Linked DNA regions of Arabidopsis thaliana. Each later gene encodes a partner of the first gene's protein in a complex. Each region holds a gene or a part of one and is shown on either strand. Other genes may lie near its edges. The genes, in order: VIN3, VRN2 and FIE.

Evidence for each region.
Region 2: VIN3 (region 1) and VRN2 share a complex: the UniProt entries of both Arabidopsis thaliana proteins name them as parts of the plant homeodomain / polycomb repressive complex.
Region 3: VIN3 (region 1) and FIE share a complex: the UniProt entries of both Arabidopsis thaliana proteins name them as parts of the plant homeodomain / polycomb repressive complex.

Annotation. Positions count from the first base shown.
Region 1 is NC_003076.8:23,245,887-23,251,400, forward strand, and holds VIN3 (Fibronectin type III domain-containing protein), read right to left. Parts: upstream 3,619-5,514; 5' UTR 3,404-3,618; coding exon 3,389-3,403; intron 2,980-3,388; exon of another isoform or gene 2,929-2,979; coding exon 2,862-2,928; intron 2,583-2,861; coding exon 2,033-2,582; intron 1,946-2,032; coding exon 1,641-1,945; intron 1,578-1,640; coding exon 652-1,577; 3' UTR 509-651; downstream 1-508. UniProt on the Arabidopsis thaliana protein: Plays a central role in vernalization by mediating the initial transcriptional repression of the homeotic gene FLC, a floral repressor, after a cold treatment.
Region 2 is NC_003075.7:9,474,237-9,480,438, reverse strand, and holds VRN2 (VEFS-Box of polycomb protein), read right to left. Parts: upstream 4,371-6,202; 5' UTR 4,232-4,370; intron 3,899-4,231; 5' UTR 3,732-3,898; coding exon 3,606-3,731; exon of another isoform or gene 3,436-3,605; coding exon 3,380-3,435; intron 3,210-3,379; coding exon 3,142-3,209; intron 3,045-3,141; coding exon 2,992-3,044; coding exon of another isoform or gene 2,970-2,991; intron 2,775-2,969; coding exon 2,721-2,774; intron 2,638-2,720; coding exon 2,578-2,637; intron 2,496-2,577; coding exon 2,452-2,495; intron 2,354-2,451; coding exon 2,223-2,353; intron 2,060-2,222; coding exon 1,873-2,059; intron 1,756-1,872; coding exon 1,707-1,755; intron 1,512-1,706; coding exon 1,428-1,511; intron 1,331-1,427; coding exon 1,251-1,330; intron 1,133-1,250; coding exon 1,043-1,132; intron 955-1,042; coding exon 714-954; 3' UTR 561-713; downstream 1-560. Other genes in the region: AT4G16840 (uncharacterized protein), read right to left, coding at 5,074-5,090, 5,279-5,525; AT4G16835 (Tetratricopeptide repeat (TPR)-like superfamily protein), read right to left, coding at 5,636-6,046, 6,117-6,202. UniProt on the Arabidopsis thaliana protein: Polycomb group (PcG) protein. Plays a central role in vernalization by maintaining repressed the homeotic gene FLC, a floral repressor, after a cold treatment.
Region 3 is NC_003074.8:7,248,204-7,254,357, reverse strand, and holds FIE (Transducin/WD40 repeat-like superfamily protein), read left to right. Parts: upstream 1-1,905; 5' UTR 1,906-2,103; coding exon 2,104-2,280; intron 2,281-3,123; exon of another isoform or gene 3,124-3,311; coding exon 3,312-3,377; intron 3,378-3,476; coding exon 3,477-3,599; intron 3,600-3,686; coding exon 3,687-3,767; intron 3,768-3,859; coding exon 3,860-3,952; intron 3,953-4,046; coding exon 4,047-4,122; intron 4,123-4,228; coding exon 4,229-4,308; intron 4,309-4,400; coding exon 4,401-4,472; intron 4,473-4,557; coding exon 4,558-4,617; intron 4,618-4,702; coding exon 4,703-4,799; intron 4,800-4,901; coding exon 4,902-4,965; intron 4,966-5,047; coding exon 5,048-5,107; intron 5,108-5,233; coding exon 5,234-5,294; 3' UTR 5,295-5,479; downstream 5,480-6,154. Other genes in the region: AT3G20730 (PPR superfamily protein), read right to left, coding at 5,480-6,154. UniProt on the Arabidopsis thaliana protein: Polycomb group (PcG) protein. PcG proteins act by forming multiprotein complexes, which are required to maintain the transcriptionally repressive state of homeotic genes throughout development.

The DNA.
Region 1 (5,514 bases):
CATTTGAATCTGCATCTTACAAGATCAAGTTGTGCGAGTTACTGCGTAAAACCGATCATTCCACCTATGTGCTGGTATTTACCAATAGGTCTCAACTCTCAACAGCTGAATTTAGAATTTACTTGCCCTTGGATCATTTACTCTGATGAGATTAAGCAGTTTCGGTTTTTCTGATTATTAACTAGAATCTTTCGTGTCTCTGCATCCAGTTTTTGTTTTCGCATTGATCGATTTCTGCTCACCAACCTTTGAATATATCTTGCAGGTCCCTCTAACGCTGTCTTGAACACTAGTCAAAAAGATGAGGGCTAGAGCTGCATTTCCCAGATAGTAGTTACTAGTTACTCCAATTCTTCCCCAGACTCTGTTCTGATGTCTTATAGAGAACAAACTTGTACTCTCTGAATTTGGTTGGAAACAACTCGTGAGTTATTTCTTTTTCGAGATTTAAAAATGTTAATGTTTGTGTGTAATCTCCCGGCTCTAACTGTCAGACTATGGTTCATTTGAAATCAGGCTTATTCATTTTTGAGTTTTTCACTAAGCATCAGAAAGAAATTGGAAATGCGTACTTACATAATTTCATTCCAAAATTATCGTTATGGTTTACAATATCAAGCGAGTTAATAAATAGACCGATTTCAAAAGCTTTTAATGCCAAAGCTTGAGGCAGATCCCAGCAGGTACTACACCATTTGTCGATGATCTCTTACTCAGTATACTTTCTGAGAATGTATCCACAAGCTGTTGTCCCAAAGAAGACAGATCCTCCATAAACGTCTCAACAAAGATCTTCACAACTCTTACTTCTCGGTGAGTAGCTCTTAAGCTATACCATGTCAAGAACCTTTCCCTAAAACTCTTGTCTATATGTCCTTCTTCCTCTAAACATCTAATCGTCTTAACAATATGACCCAAGTCTTTATCTCCTACTCCATTTGCGGCATTATTGATCTCAGGTTTCTCGTTCAAGGATACTGTTCTTGATTTGAATCTTTTATTCCCTCCTTGCTTTCCTTTATAAATATCTCTCTTGCAGGGTGTTACAAGCAAGTCTCTTCCATCTATCTTGTTTGCTTTCCTCTTTACAAGCCTCTCTTCTTCAAGCTCAGATTCTACTTCTCCTGCACTACAGTGTTCAGTGTTGTCCTTGTCACCATTTCCTTTGCTGCAGCTTTTATTGACATTATTAGATTCATCTTCTGGTAAAGATGGATTACTACAAAGACCACTGCTTGAGTTTGTCAAAGGGCTTTGCTGGTCCCCAGCTTCATCTCCATCATCCTTCAACGTTGTGAACCGAAGCTCAGACTCATCTAAGTCACCTTCCTCGTTAAAGGAAACCACTCTGAGACAGAACTCGGTGTCGGGTTCAAGTCCTTGGATGGCAGACGTCGTCTCAGGTAGATAAACAACACAATTCCCCTGAGACGAGCATTCTTCGTCCTTCGACTTTCGACAAAACAACCTGAAACCTGTGATCTTGTTTTGTGTAGAAGAAGACGGCTCCTCGGAGTCTACTCTCACAGTGACTGATCTTGCTTGAATCTCTTCTACTCTCACGGTCATCTTGTCACCTAACAGGAACTAAAGTCAACATCTTCGGTTTTAAAACCAAAGTAATGTATGAACACACTAACCTTGTCCTGAAACAGATTCTGATGGTGAGACCACTTTGTCCAGAGCTTCCATTGCCTGAGAACACAGCTTCTGGACATGCACACCCGAAGAAAGTCTATTGACGATGCCTCGAGCCATCTTCATGGCCCAACCCGACAACGGACCCACATCACCTTCGAGCTTCTTCACCGCCTCATCCATAAGTTCCAACAGATTCCGATACTTCGTGGTACCTCTCAACAGCTTCTGTCCTAAAGAAAGACGATAACAAAGTACATCCACACGCCGCGTCTCTTTCGCCACCTTCACTTGTTTTCTCCAGCATCTGTAAGCACTCGCATACACACACATTACATTACATTCTCTTTTCATTGTAGTATATCCATAGATTTCAATATCTAAAGATCCTTACCCGAGCAAGTCATTATCTTTACCGCAATACGCGCAATAAAACCTACCATCAAGATCATCACTCCCAATCCCATACCTATCTTGCTTCAAACCACATTCCAAATGACAAGACGATCCACAAGCATCACAAGTAAGCCATAAACTAGGATCCTTATTATCATCAAACTTTTGACAGATGCAGCAAGAACACCTTCTGCAAAACGTATCATCGCATCCAAGCGCAGCTCTACAAGCTAAATTCTCACAGCAAATGATGTAACCGATCATCTTCTTCTCCTTCTTCCTCGAGTTTCTACGGTCAGAACAAGAGGTCTCTCCAAGAGGACGAGACACAAGATTCAGAAGATTCTCTATGAGCTTTGGTTTGTTAAGACCAGTGTACTTCCTTTCTTTACCCATCTCAGCACATATGATCTTCATGATCTCATTTCTGCTCCATGAATTCAAAAGCTCCGAAGCTTCTTCAGGCTGGTTAGACAATGCGTGGATCAATTCTCTCCTTTCACTTACATTCAAAACGTTTGGTTTACAAGTCTCAATGCATTCATTATCTGCACCATAAAAGACCAATCCTTTAGCCCTAGATTCTCCTCAAGATAAAAAGGAGAGGATCACAGATTCTGACTCTTTTTGGGGTAAAAATGATCAAAAGTATAAAACTTTGAATGAATCTCAACAACCCAGAAACGAAATATCAACAATGACGACGAATCCAATGCGAGAAATAAAACGTTTGTTGATATTGTGTAAAAACGTCGTCGTGTTAACGACCTAAAACGCATGAAACTAGGAACAGTGAGAGAGACGTTCACGTCGAGAAAATATCGTACCTTCAAACGAAGAAGAATCCATGTTCTCTGGACCCACATTACCATCGAAACGCCAGATCTTTGAGAGCTGCCGAGATCCGATTTCACACAAAAGGTTCAATTATGTCAAAGTTAAAGCAAGAACCAAAAAAAATAAACCATCACAACAATCTGACAATAACACTTAAGTACAGACAAAAAAAAAATTCTCAAAGATGTAACACTTACGATGATGAAGAACACAAGATCGAAAAAAAAATTCAGATTTTATCGATTTTCATTTTGAAGTTATAATCTTTAAACAACCAAAGAGAAACCCATGAAATACACTTTGTAAGAACCTATATTTGTAACTATTAGACAAAAGATTCGAGGATGACTCAGTCTTAAGAACAAACCATTGAGAATTTTCTTTAATTAAAATAAACAAATACTCAGAGAGTAAATATATATGCAAAATTAGAATTGGTTGTTGTTCACCGAATGAGAAGCCTTCAAAAAAAAACAGCATACAAAGAATATTTATATAAAAAAAAAACGCTGTTTACCGAAGCAGCTTGCATTTTTTTTTTGTTTGTCGTTCTTCGTGTTCTTCGTTTTTTTTCTCTTGATTTTTTTTTTTGCTAGGTTTATTTTAGAGATCTTTTATGGGGATTTAGTGAAAAAGGAAAAGATGTTTCTGTGATGGATGGTTCTTCTCTCTCTCTCTCTCCTTTTGTTTTTTCTAGATGTTTCTAAGGAGGAAACCCTCTGATGGATGAAACTTCTGCTCTGATGAGAGCTTTTTTTTTTAAAGTTCTTTAGAATTTTGGTTTTGTGTATTTTTTAATATTAAAAAAAACGTTGGAAATATCTTCACGTGCTTTGGAAGATATTATATACGCAAATGCTTTGATTTGACCTGTAACCAATGCTGGACTTATTGTATATACCTTTTCTAGGATGTCGCTTATGACTCACTACTATATGTTCGAAATATTACGATATGTAAAATCATTTTTATTTACTATCATAAATTTTATAAATCTTTTTATTGAATTTAATAGTTTGTTTATATACAAGTTTTTTTTTTTTTTTTTTGAAAATATTATTTTTTCTTTTATAAGAAGAGGGGAGAAGAGATTATGATAATGTTGATATGGTGTATGAACTATCGTGTACAAACTTCGAGTAAGTCTTAAACAACAAAGTTATTAGTTTATAATTTCAGAATTCTGAGTTTAGATTTTGTGACAAGGGTTTTTAGTTTTTGTGAAGTTTACAAAATGCAGATCTCTTAAAAACTTTCACATATTTTTGTTTTGCATCATCTACGTTAATTTGTGATGATTAGTAGTATTTTATTAACAAAGTTAAACATCTAGTATTAGTTCAAATTTTCAAAATCCACAAAACGTTAACAATAAAAGAAGGTTAATATTCTATATATAGATTATCATATGAAAATGAGAAGTTCCGTTAGATTAAATTATGTTTTCTAAACCAACTGATGTAAAAGATTTTCTTAAATAACTGATTACTTTAGTTCATCTTTTTTTGTTTTTTGGACATCTTTAAATCGAGTAGACTCGATCTATAGTCAATGGATTTTTTAGGTGAAAGTTTACTAGAGGGGATAACGCTTAATGGATTCAAATTTGGGTGGAGAAAACGGAGTCAAGTAAACTTAATTCATCTTTAAAATTTAGTTCATCTACAAATACTTTAATAGTACAGTTTAGTAATACAACTTGTACTAGACAAGTACTAATATAGCCATTAACAATTTTAGTTTGCCCATGAAGACGGTCGGTCCAGATACCAAAAAAAGCGATTTGCCAAAAGTTTTTTTTTTGAATTAGCATCCCATGTAAAGAATTTCTTCGACTAATTCTTTTGGGACGAGTGACTTTTTGCCAAAAGAAAATTAAGAATCCACATTCGATTAAAAATTATGTTAGAATTCATGAACGAGTGATTATGACAAAGATACATGCAATAATTGTAACTTAATTTTGTAATAGAATTCCATAAACATTCACATGATATATCTTAACCCAAGTTATTTCAGGTTAGTAAGTTGTATTGTGGATCAAAAGAGGATTTGACTAAAATGTGCAAAATGAGCATTATCATGTAAAGAGACGGGACAGGGTGAGAAGGGGTGGTGGAGGTAGGGCTAAACCAGTTAAAAGTCCGCATATTTTTAGTTTTGACATGTTCGATCTAAGTTTTTCCAACTGAATAATTAGAGTGTTTGGAGTTAGGGTTTAGATCATAATTTATTGTTTAGATATAAAAACAAAAAATCATCAAATGAGGAAGAAGAACAATGCTATTACATGGTAAAAACGTAAAAATCCATATGAAGTTTGTAACATATATAACATATTCAATGAAAGGTTCTAATATTGTATCGTTGGCCTTCGTGGTATAAGAAACAAATAAACTGCGCTAGAGCAAATAAGTTAGAGAAAGTTCACTTGCAGTGGCATTTGAAAACAATTGGAAGAGAGAAATGTGCTAACACTTGGACATGAAGAGAACATGAACGAAAAGGAAATCATGAAAAAGGTTAAATGTTAGTTACTAAACATTATGGATGCAATTATGGTTTTTCAAAAGTGTTTTATGACCAACTAATTGTATATTCGATCTTGATAATAATTTGTGTGGTCTCGTAAAAATGTGATGA
Region 2 (6,202 bases), on another chromosome or scaffold:
TTTGATGGTATGTTTTGTCAAATTTTAAAGCAAATTATGTGATCCTTTGAACCAAAAATGTGCATTGCGAAATCAAACAATTCGAGAATCAACTAGAAGCAATGAATCCAGAACTATGTTTTATTACCTAAACCATCAATCTTTTAACAAAAACGTAAATTCCGATTTCCGATCTACTGCTAAATCCCAACTCTTACGAGAGAACGGGAATAATTATGTTAGTCAATTTTATCACTTGACTCCGATCTAGTTTGAAATCGAGACAAACCTGAAAGATTCGAAAACACTGATTGGTGGTGTCAAAGCAAAATCGAAGAAGCTTGCTGCTTGTGAGGGATTCATTGAGAAAGAACAAGTCAAAATGGGGTTTTAAGCTTAATCACTGTGTCTTAATTAATTTCTTGATTTGTTTTCAATCTATTTGCACTTAATATATATATTTTTATGTTATGTACTTGATTAATATATAACTCCTATTTACTAGAGGTCTAGAGGAGCTTTTTCTCAAGTCAAAAAGAAAAATTAAGGAAACTTATCTTATTTTTCAGTCTTTAGTTATTAAGGAGAATCCATTTTTTTAACTAAAAATGTAATCAGTTGAATACACTAACAAATAAAATCTTTGTTTGCTCCTAAACAATTTTTTTAAGAAAGAAGAATAAGTTACAATCCGATAGATCGGTATCATCTAAACCGGAGTGTTTCCTATTTAATTACTTGTCTCTGCTGTTATTGTCCTTGTTGTCAACATTGTTCTTGTTTTTTATGTCATTCGGATGATCCACAATGTTATTGTTGTTGGTGTTTGAGTCACTGGGATGATCCACACTGTTGTTGTTGTTGTTAGTGACTGAGGTATTACGGCAATTCTCGAGGATGGTATTGCAGTTGTTGATGGTGGCTGAGTCGACAAGTCCATGGTTCCATAGTTTAATCAAAAACAATCTCCAACACCTGGAATTTTTTATTTTTCTTTCAGAAAAACGAAACAAAATTGATAGTGTAGTTATGTGTCTGTATATGTTTGGTGTACTTATATTACCAGAAGAGTGATGAGTAACAGTGCAACTCTTTCTCGTAAAATCTTGAAAATACTTCACATGCCCAAGAGATATGACCATCTGCTATAACCCTGCAAACATCAATCATAATTTGAGCTCAAAGTTCCATAAGCAGAATCATTTAGACAGGTATGGAATGTAAGACATAAGGTCTTTTTGTGTGTGTTCAAGTGTAAGAGAAGTAGTTACCTTTGTTTTCTTACAAACGAGTTCCAAAGATGCATGAATTGCTTTTCATCTTTATTCACATCCACAAAGTCATCAAGCATCTGCAGCTTTTTTAAGTTTCAAAAGCCATTAGCAAGTTACATCGTATACCATTTTCTGTTGCCTACTTAATGAACGCAGAAAGAAATCATGGAATACCTGGCGATCTTCAAAATCTGCAACATCGTCATCGACTTCATCCTCGCTATCCCGATCAGACATTACTTGCTCAAGCGCCATTGGCTTGTCACAAGAAACATGCAGTTTTTGGTTAGTGGCAATAAAACGGAGACAACATGGACATAATTTTTTTGCGTTGATACATACAGAATCAAAATACAAATTTAGATGAGAACAAACCAAGTATGCTTTGATAAGATATCATCATGAGCAATTTAAAGAAAATGCCTAAGAAGTAGGTGAAGGAACTTGGATCACCTGGACTCTGTGAGAATGATAGAATTGGCGTTTCTGAAGAAGTAGGTGGCTGGAAGAAATTTTCTCGGTTAATATGGCAGTACAGTAAACACTTATCCATAATAGGAAGAACATTTGTAACAACAGGTATGGTAATTATGATGACGGGGTGTCATGATGAACAAACCTTCTAGCCTCTGATCGCTCAGCAGATAACTTTCTTGTCTTAGTAGCAGGGACCACAGCTTCGGTTGTTAATATAACTTTAGCACCAGCGTCCAGAGAAGAGTGGGCTATGGCTGGTGGAATGTTGCTAGTCATCTCAAATTGTCCAGCAAGCTCTGTTGCCTCGGGATATCCTAAACCACGGTTTCCTGTAGCATGCCATTAATTTTGTACATCAGTTCTGGTAACATTACCCTCACAAGAAGAATGCGAGGAGAAGTACAAAAACTAAACAATCAGGACATTGTATCTTCTTCTGTAAAATGAAGTTCTAAGCCACAACGAATACCACAGAAGAAGATGTGATTTTACCATCATTCAGCAGGGCAATTCCATTTTCTGTGCCATTAGCTAAACTGGGTGAATCCAACGGTAAAAAGCATACTTTAAGTCTCCTGGTGTTATTTCTGCCACCTCTTTGTCTACGCTTACGAGGTTTCGAGCTGCAAAACATTGTGGTTGGATTTATAGAGAAGTACTGACAAGAAAAGCAAGGAGTTACTGCTATTAAGGTATTTAATCAAGGGGTTCTGAGAGTTACCAGAGAGAGAAGGGCTCAAATTTATCATCATCACTTCCTTCTTCCTAGTACAAATAAGGATGGAATATAAACCAAATTTTCACCAGCTATAGGATTTCCCAATTAACCAAGTTTAAAGTAACTGACCTCAAATATGAAGGAATTAAGTTTTACAGAAACATTAACTGTCTGGTATTCTTCCAAAAGCTACAATAGGAAAGACCCTTTTTTAACTATAACCTCATTACTAACGGCATAGGCAAAACAAGAAATTCCATAAAACCACATACCTTGAACTCAAATTCAAATAAATCATGAGATGAATTCAAATGAAATTGCAGCCCCTGCATAGACACAAGACAATGGATTGTAAGCTCGAACTGGAACATGTTTTCTCAGATAAGCACACACTCAGCAGTTTAAAAAGAGCAAGAAGACAAACAACAAACACAAAAATATGTAACCAAACAGTGAAAGTATATAGCATTAAACGGCAGTAGCATTTCACAGTGTTAGATATGAAAGGCCCCGGAAGAAACCTCAGTTGTAATAGTTGCCCACCTTGAAGCTACCACATAGCATAGAGCAAAATGGACAAGAACAATCCTCCCTAACTGCGTGACAATACAGAAAAAAATAGTAAATAACAAATCATCTAGAGAAACATAGACATTGACATCGAATTTTGTCGAAGAACAGAAAAAGACTAACCTTCAGTTCTTTGTAATGTATTATTACAATCCTTATAGTTGAAAACTACCATCCCAGTAGATCTTGACCTAAGCAAAACACAATTTTGTAAAATATAAGTGTATAGCATGAACAAAGAAGAAACCATTCATTATGTCCATATCTACTCAACAAAGATAAATAGTTCATCAGCTTCCATATTAGAAGTAAGATAAATAACATATCACTGTGGCAACTACATTCAAGAAGAAACGCATACTTTCTTTTGCGCTTTGCCCCAATTTTGTAGTTCAAGCATCTTGGCAGAAACGATGGCTGCAACAACAAACAACAAGTTCAAATAACATTAGGAGACAAAAGAAGCACACACTCGCCATGAGTCAGACCATAATCAGCTTAGCAAACTCAAACTATTAGTGGGTGATCTACACAGGAGATGAAAGATTACTAAGCTAAAATGATGAGAGAGGAAGGCCAAATCATACGTTGCCTAGAGAGCGAAGGTGAAAGATGTTATATAGTCGAACAGGTTTACAATATATCAAGAGATTCTCATCAGTTGAAATCACTTCCTCCGGTGAGGATTTCGCGCGACAATTCTGCCTACACATTCTTGTTCAAATACAATCAACAACGTCCAGAGCTGATTATGAAGTTAGTGCAAACTCTGAGGCCTCCCCTAAATTAGAATTTCCCTACGTCATATTGTTCAACTCCATGCAACAATTAGAACCGCCTCTTCTGCAATATGCTTATATAGAATGTCTTGTATTGAGGCCTGTGTAATAAAGAAAGCACAAGACTTTTTAAGCAACTCAGAGAGTTCATTCAAGACATAGACAAGTTTAGACGTATTGCAAAAATGAAAACTTTATCCAATGCCACTTAGCAGAATCATCATACTTATCAAATTAAAATAAAATTATGTGATCTTTTGAACCAAATGTGTATGAAGAAATCTTAAAAAAAATTCCATCGAGATCAACGATTCCAGAACTAGAATACGATTCCGGATCTACTGCAAAATTTCAAATCTTACAATATAATTGAAACAATTAGGGTTATCAATTGTTATTACTTGACTCCGATTTAATTTGAGATTGAGACAAACCTGAAAGCTGCGAAAACACCGATTGGCCGTGTAAGAGAGAGAGCAAGCAAAATTGAAGAAGCTTGATTGGGAGATATTCACTGAGAAAGAAAACAAGTAAAAATAAAACTTTGGGTTTCAAGTTTTTCTTCAAGTCTGGGCCTATGGCCCATATTTTAAACCGATAACCATTTAACACGTATTATTATTAGTCAATAAATAGTTGAACTTTTTTTTTAATTAATAAAATGAAAAGAAAATACAAGCAACTTGGACAGCTTAATGCCTTAATCCACTAATATTTCTAAAATTGTTTTTTTAACTCTACCATGGCAGTACAGTGAGTATTAGAGGATTTAAAACCATATTCACCATTGATCTATGCGTGGAGGATGAAGAAATTAAGAATCATTGATCTATACTTTTCACACTAAGAATAGAATCTTCATGACCTTCAATTTTGATTTCCATTTGTGTTTTACATAAATAGTCAGAGTTTAAAATAAATTACTGAATATGTATTTTGATTCCATTGTTTAACTCTAGTTGAGTTGGCTAGCTGAAACTCACAGGAACATATAATCCTAAGGTGGCATTAAGTTGAAACTAATCTTTTTTTCGACCAATAGAATGATTAATGGATAACCATCAGTGTTTTCTACTTGAGTTGTGTGATGTATATCACTGAAATATTAAACATACATTTCATGAAAACGAGAGATCCTTTTGTGTGTCTACAGAACCAAAAATTACAAATACGAATGGTTTGCGGCACAAAATCACCGGCGGTAAAAGAATTGTTTCCTTTCCCAAAACTGAATATGAGTTCCCATGGAGACAAGACAACATGTTGCTTTTGGAACTCAACTCCTTAACGCTGCTGACAAATTCCAAATCCATCACCGATTTAGTATTATATGAACAAATTGAAACCATAATTCAACACAAGATTCTAACGTTGCAGAGACATCTCGATCCTCATATCCATATGAGTCTTTGTAAAATCCCTAATTAAGTTTCACAGATCAATTATGGATTCATAGAGATTGAAACAATTTCTCGGCTTACCTGAGTAAGAGGAGAGCCAGAGGATTGCGACACAGAGAAGAAGAATGAGAGGAATCAAATGGATGACGTTTTCTGAAAATCTGAATCTTGATTTCTCTCTCTTCCCCGCTTGAGAATTCGGATCGTACCTAGGCAAAAGCAGCTCCACATCATCTTCCATTGCTGTAACACTCTGAGATCGAGGCGGAGACCTTGAAGTCGCCGGAAAATGATCCAAAACTCTAGAACCACTCGCTGATCTACGCATCTCTCTTCTTAACGGCAACTTGTCAAGTCAAAGGTCGAAACTTTACCACACAATAACGCATATAAATACAGTCAGGTTTGACCAATGAGAGAGTCAAAGCTCTTCTCTTTTCACCAGTAATCGCCACAAGAGCAAGACCCATCTTTGAAATGGTGAAACCTTGTGGTGTCTCTTACAATGATCTCTCGTTTCTCTATCTCCGAGATAAATTTGATTGCTTTATGACAATCACCACAGATTCTCAAGTTCTTGAACACTTGTATCTGTGAACCTTGAGGGAGTTTTATGCAACCAAATGCAACAGCTAACTTCTCGCTGTGCCATAACAATAGCTTCTCTTTTTGCTCTTCCTCTACATTGTGTAAAGCAAACTCTAGTTCCGGTTTGTATCCAGCTAGTTTCATCTTCTTCTCCAACTCCTTCAGTTTCTTGTGTATTGAGTCTAGTTCAGGGTGAATCCGATCACTTGATCTGAAATGGTGAACTTTGTTTCGTATTTCGATCCAACTGTATCCAGGTACCTGAAACAGTCAAGTAAATACATTAGAGTCTTGTAACTCGAATAAAGAATCGAACTTTGACTCGCTCTACCTTCACAACATTGCTCTCTTTCATTCTCTTGCGAACCCTTGCAACGTCTTCCCAACGATTCTTCGATGCGTAGATATTCGCAAGCT
Region 3 (6,154 bases), on another chromosome or scaffold:
GTTTTAAATCTACGGCTAGAATTTTCGGTCGGTTTTATACTTTATATAGATGCTAGATTTTTTTCTTCTAGTCATCGTTTATTAGTACAATTTTGTTTTTATATATTGATTACTTGAATTTATAATAGGATTGGTACAAAGGTGGTAATTATAAAGTGCATTTTTTTGGATATTGTTCAATTCAAATATTTTTACTTAGATTCTCAAACTATTGAAAAATATCCAAAATATCCGGAAAATTTCAATTTAATCGAATAAAAAAATTAGAATGGAAAGAATAAAAAATTATCGGGTACAATTAGAAGAGTAATGTGTTTAGTTTGGTTTTTACTCGGATACCAGTTCAGTTTTCACGTATTATTCGATCCTATAGGAGCAATTGTGAATTAGTTGTGAGATTTTGGGAGCATTCGCTTCCAGAACTTAGTGCTAGGAGAAATGCTATTTTCCTATAAGAGTTGTACGAGGAAGCGAGCAAGTACACAACAACCACAAAAGCTTTCAATACTTGTTTACTCCTAGGGTTTAAAACTAGAGGTTCTATAGATCTCTAAATTTTTTTGAACAAATGTGTTTTCCACACGTGATATTCTACAATACCACTCGAAAATTATCCATAATTGCTTTAAACTATTTTTTTGTTTAAATTATATAATTTGTACCGTTGTAAACTGATTATTTCAAATTATAATTAAAGCACTATAATTTCATATATTACATTCAACATATATTAAAATAAACTATAACCATGTATTTTTTTGTCTTCCTTTCCTATAAACATTGATTGGACTCTATCGTAAATTTTGTCGTTATCGCAAATTTTGTCGTTATCGATGAGTTTCTCAAAGTTTGGACCTTGATTATCTTGTTTGGAGATGTTCAAATCGTTATATCCAAATAGTGAACTTCTAATTTTCTTTTTTGATAATGTGACTTATTTGGAAAAGTATTCCAAAGTATTCAAATAAACCCTTTAAAAATCCATTAAATACATTTTAAATAAGTAAAATGCTCTCAACGAAGAGATATCATGGTAAATAACAACAGTGAGAGGATAAAATGTTAAATCAATTTATTTACAACTTCAAATAGGCGGACATCAAACCTACTTAGCACACTTTCTATTTTCAAATTGGTTATGGTTTGTCTATTAGTTGTTGCATCTATGTTTTTTAATTCTTATATCGGTGATCTTGATTTTGTTTTGGTGTATCTAAAATCTATTTTAGTTAAAGTGCAAGAAAATAAAATAAAAACTTAAGGTAAGAGATGAAAGTAAGCTTTAAATAAAACAGAGCACTTCTATGGTCGATTATAGAGCCAAGTTCGTTCCTCCATTTTGGCTTAATGCAATATTACAAGTAAATCTTATAAAACTTTCCATAAGTATCGTATTACCCATGGATACTATGATATATAAACTCTCGGAGGTGTAGTCCAGAAGAAATGATCCATATTTGCATACAGTAAACTTGATGGAAAAAATATGTGGTACTGTTGGAATTGTAGCTATTGAGTATCAAATTTGAGAAAAAGGTAAAAAAATATGTAAAATTTGGGTGGAAGAAAAGAATTACATAAAATTGAGAAATGTATGTAATTGACAAAATAATGTTTTCAAAACATAAAAACGTGATACCATTTAAATCCAAACCTTATATCATTTAACCATTTTTAGTAAAACTAATAGTAATGAATGGTCAATAATATAAGATTACATATTAAATAATTACTACTTTCAGAAAATTTCAATCAAATCTATAATATTCCTTTGAAAAAAAAGAAAGACAAATAGGTAAACTTCGATCGTATCAATCAAAGAATATATTTATTTTTCATCGTAACGTTTAATTCTAAGTCCTATTAAAAAACGTTAAATTTGATTTTTCTTACCATTTTTTTCTAAAAGGTGAGTTGTGTGTTGTGTCAGGTCCAAAATAAAAGTTTGTCGTGAGGTCAAAATCTACGGTTACAGTAATTTTAATAACCTGTGAATCTGTGTCTAATCGAAAATTACAAAACACCAGTTGTTGTTGCATGAGAGACTTGTGAGCTTAGATTAGTGTGCGAGAGTCAGACAGAGAGAGAGATTTCGAATATCGAATGTCGAAGATAACCTTAGGGAACGAGTCAATAGTTGGGTCTTTGACTCCATCGAATAAGAAATCGTACAAAGTGACGAATAGGATTCAGGAAGGGAAGAAACCTTTGTATGCTGTTGTTTTCAACTTCCTTGATGCTCGTTTCTTCGATGTCTTCGTTACCGCTGGTGGAAATCGGGTAAAAGATCTCGACTTTCAATTCGAAATCACTGTTTTCAATTCTGGGTCTGTTTAGGTTTTGATTCAGATTGATTGTAACATTAAGGCCTTTCCTTTTGTGTTTGATTTTGGATTCTGATTTCTAGCCTTTAGTGAGATTAAAAGATTGAAACTTTGCTTGATGCTATAGTCTAAGATTATGTAACATTTAGTTCAAACTTTCTGGTTTTGGAGATTTTGTGGAAGATATGGTTTTTGTTTTCTAATTTAAAGTGAACTCATTACCTTATACACTTGATTTGCATTCTGTTCTAAAAAAAATTGAAACTTTGGTTGATGTTGTTAGTCTGCTTATCTAAGGAGGTTCCTTTTGAAACGGTCATCAAGTGAGTTATGAAGCGTTTAGTTTAAGCTTTCCTGTATTGGAGATTTTGTGGAAGTTATTTTTTTTTCTAATTTTGAAACTAGATAGAGTGAAGTCATTACCTTATACATTAGACTGCTCTATTTTGTTTTCAATGTGGGTTCCGAATGTACCTGATAGTGGCTCTTTAGGCTCATTTGTATTCGTCGAAACATCGATCGGATACCCGTTTGGGCTTAGTAGGCTCTGATACCGCGTAAAGTTCTCGGGTTCCATGAAAAACCAATCGGTAATGAGTGGAGTTAATTTGTAATCGTCTTCGGTCGAGCATTTGGGATTAGTGGGCTTTGATACCATGTGAAAGTCCTTGGGGTCCAATCGGCAATGAGTAGAGTTAACTTGTAATCTTACACACTTGGTTAGGTCTCATTCTCTTTATAATGTTGTGTGCCTAACAGTTTCCGCACTAAGGTTGTTTGGTTGCTCAGTCTCAATATACTTATCTTAACTAGTTGTAGTTTTTTTCATCTTTCCTAGTTTCCGTTGGATTTTAAATTGAATGATTTACTAGTTAGAAATATTTGAGTTTCTCATAGAAGCTTTAACCAAGGGGTTCTTTCATTTAACCTTTACTTAGCTAGTTCATGAATCTCATTACTGCCATTGGTGTATCTCTTATTATGTAGATTACTCTGTACAATTGTCTCGGAGATGGTGCCATATCAGCATTGCAATCCTATGCTGATGAAGATGTAAGGAAGCATACATATTAGCTTTTCCATCAAATTAAAGTAAGTGATGTTTCACTGAGGCCATTTGGTTATATTTTGTCTATGTCCTCTGGAGAGCAGAAGGAAGAGTCGTTTTACACGGTAAGTTGGGCGTGTGGCGTTAATGGGAACCCATATGTTGCGGCTGGAGGAGTAAAAGGTATAATCCGAGTCATTGACGTCAACAGTGAAACGATTCATAAGGTATTATTGCATTTTTATGGATGTTCTATGTATCCTAGCAAATGATTCTATATCTTTCTTGTATAATCTGTGCTCGCAAATGTGCAGAGTCTTGTGGGTCATGGAGATTCAGTGAACGAAATCAGGACACAACCTTTAAAACCTCAACTTGTGATTACTGCTAGCAAGGTATATCTCTTGGCTTTCTTTTCTTCCTAAAGTATCCTGACTTCTTTTTTATTTGTTGGTGATTAAGAGCTGTTACGTTTTAATTGAATAAGGATGAATCTGTTCGTTTGTGGAATGTTGAAACTGGGATATGTATTTTGATATTTGCTGGAGCTGGAGGTCATCGCTATGAAGTTCTAAGTGTGGTGAGCCAATATTGTTTTATCTAATTCAGTTAGTTTTCTACAATAATATATAGAGACAATGTTAAGGGGAACCATCTTATTTTGAAAATTGTAGGATTTTCATCCGTCTGATATTTACCGCTTTGCTAGTTGTGGTATGGACACCACTATTAAAATATGGTCAATGAAAGGTACGATCGAGCACATATTGTAATAAACTTCCATTTTAAAAAACCTTTTGAGAAAAATGGCTTGTGGTTCGTTTGTATGATCTTCTTATTCTTTGGCTGTCTATAGAGTTTTGGACGTACGTCGAGAAGTCATTCACATGGACTGATGATCCATCAAAATTCCCCACAAAATTTGTCCAATTCCCTGTAAGTATTTTGTTTTAGCCTTGTCTTGTAACAACAAGTGACATACAAATATTGGTGATGGCCTTTGTAAATAACATTACTTCTATATGTAGGTATTTACAGCTTCCATTCATACAAATTATGTAGATTGTAACCGTTGGTTTGGTGATTTTATCCTCTCAAAGGTTAGTAAGTCAATGATGGTTAAGATTAATTCATTTGGTGTACTGTTAAAACACTTTACTCTTGTGTTGTTCTATCGGATTTTAGAGTGTGGACAACGAGATCCTGTTGTGGGAACCACAACTGAAAGAGAATTCTCCTGGCGAGGTTAGGATCTCATTGTTGCTCCAAACACAACATAATCATTCATTTCATCACATATATTTACAGTTGAACTTTTTGTGGTTTGCAGGGAGCTTCAGATGTTCTATTAAGATACCCGGTTCCAATGTGTGATATTTGGTTTATCAAGTTTTCTTGTGACCTCCATTTAAGTTCTGTTGCGATAGGTAATCAGAGAGCTCGTTAGATACAAATTTGCATTCTATAGATAGATTACTTCAACTTTTCTTATTCATTTTGTGACAAATTACTCGCTGGTTTGTTATCAGGTAATCAGGAAGGAAAGGTTTATGTCTGGGATTTGAAAAGTTGCCCTCCTGTTTTGATTACAAAGTAAGTTAGTTTCGGATTCAGATACAATGTTTGATCTTTAAGAAATGTTTTAGTCTTGACATGATTTTCTGTTGCCATATAGGTTATCACACAATCAATCAAAGTCTGTAATCAGGCAAACAGCCATGTCTGTCGATGGAAGGTATAAATCCATCTTCTCTCTCACCAATGCAGTGAAAATTTCTTAATGTTATTTATGACTCAATAGTTACTGTAAATCAAACCAAACTTTGGATTCTGACACACTGTTTCTTCCATGGGATTGTAGCACGATTCTTGCTTGCTGCGAGGACGGGACTATATGGCGCTGGGACGTGATTACCAAGTAGCGGTCTGAGTCTTGTAGGAATTGATGAATTAGGAGTGCGAAGAAATGAGATATCCATTCTTTTATTGTAATTCTGATCATGTTGCTACTCCCTGAGACCTTGAGATGCTCTTTGTAGCCTTGTTAACGTCCACCCTTGTACCACAGTGTATACCCTTTCTGGAGATTTTGTCTTATTCTCTTAGTTCAATACACAAGGCTGTATCCTGGAGCTTTATTGCAGGAACCACTCTCTTTCATAAGCTTTCTAGTATTCAAAGCATTGTCCCATGCTCCATTAGCTGCATACACACTGGCCAAATTGATGTAATTGACTGGTTTCCTCGGTTCCATACTCAGAAGCTGCGTGGCTGCTACTTTACTGAGCTGCACATTCCCATGGCGCCTGCATGCATCAAGAAAAGCTCCCCATGTTGATGAGCTAAGACTTACAATACCCTCTTTACTTCTTATCAGTGCATAAGCTTCTTCCAAGTAGCCACTGCGCGCAAGCATATCTATGATGCAAGATAAGTGCTCTTCTCGAGCTTCGATTCCGTGCTTGTTGATCATTGTGTCGTAAATCTTCCAGCCTAGTTCGGTTTGTCCTGTATGACTACAAGCAGAGAGGAGAGAAAGAAATGTAACGTCATTCGGTTTGATCCTTTCATGCTCCATTCTGTTATAAAGATCAATTGCTTTCTCAAAATTCCCATGTCTTCCATATCCTGCAATCAAAGAGGTCCATGATCTCACATCTTTCTCTTTCATCTCTTCGAAAGCCAGGACTGCATCCTCGATTTCCCCAGACTTTGCATACATATCTATCAGCGAATTCCCCAAAGCAACATCGAATCTGATTTGGGAAGATTTTAAGGCAAA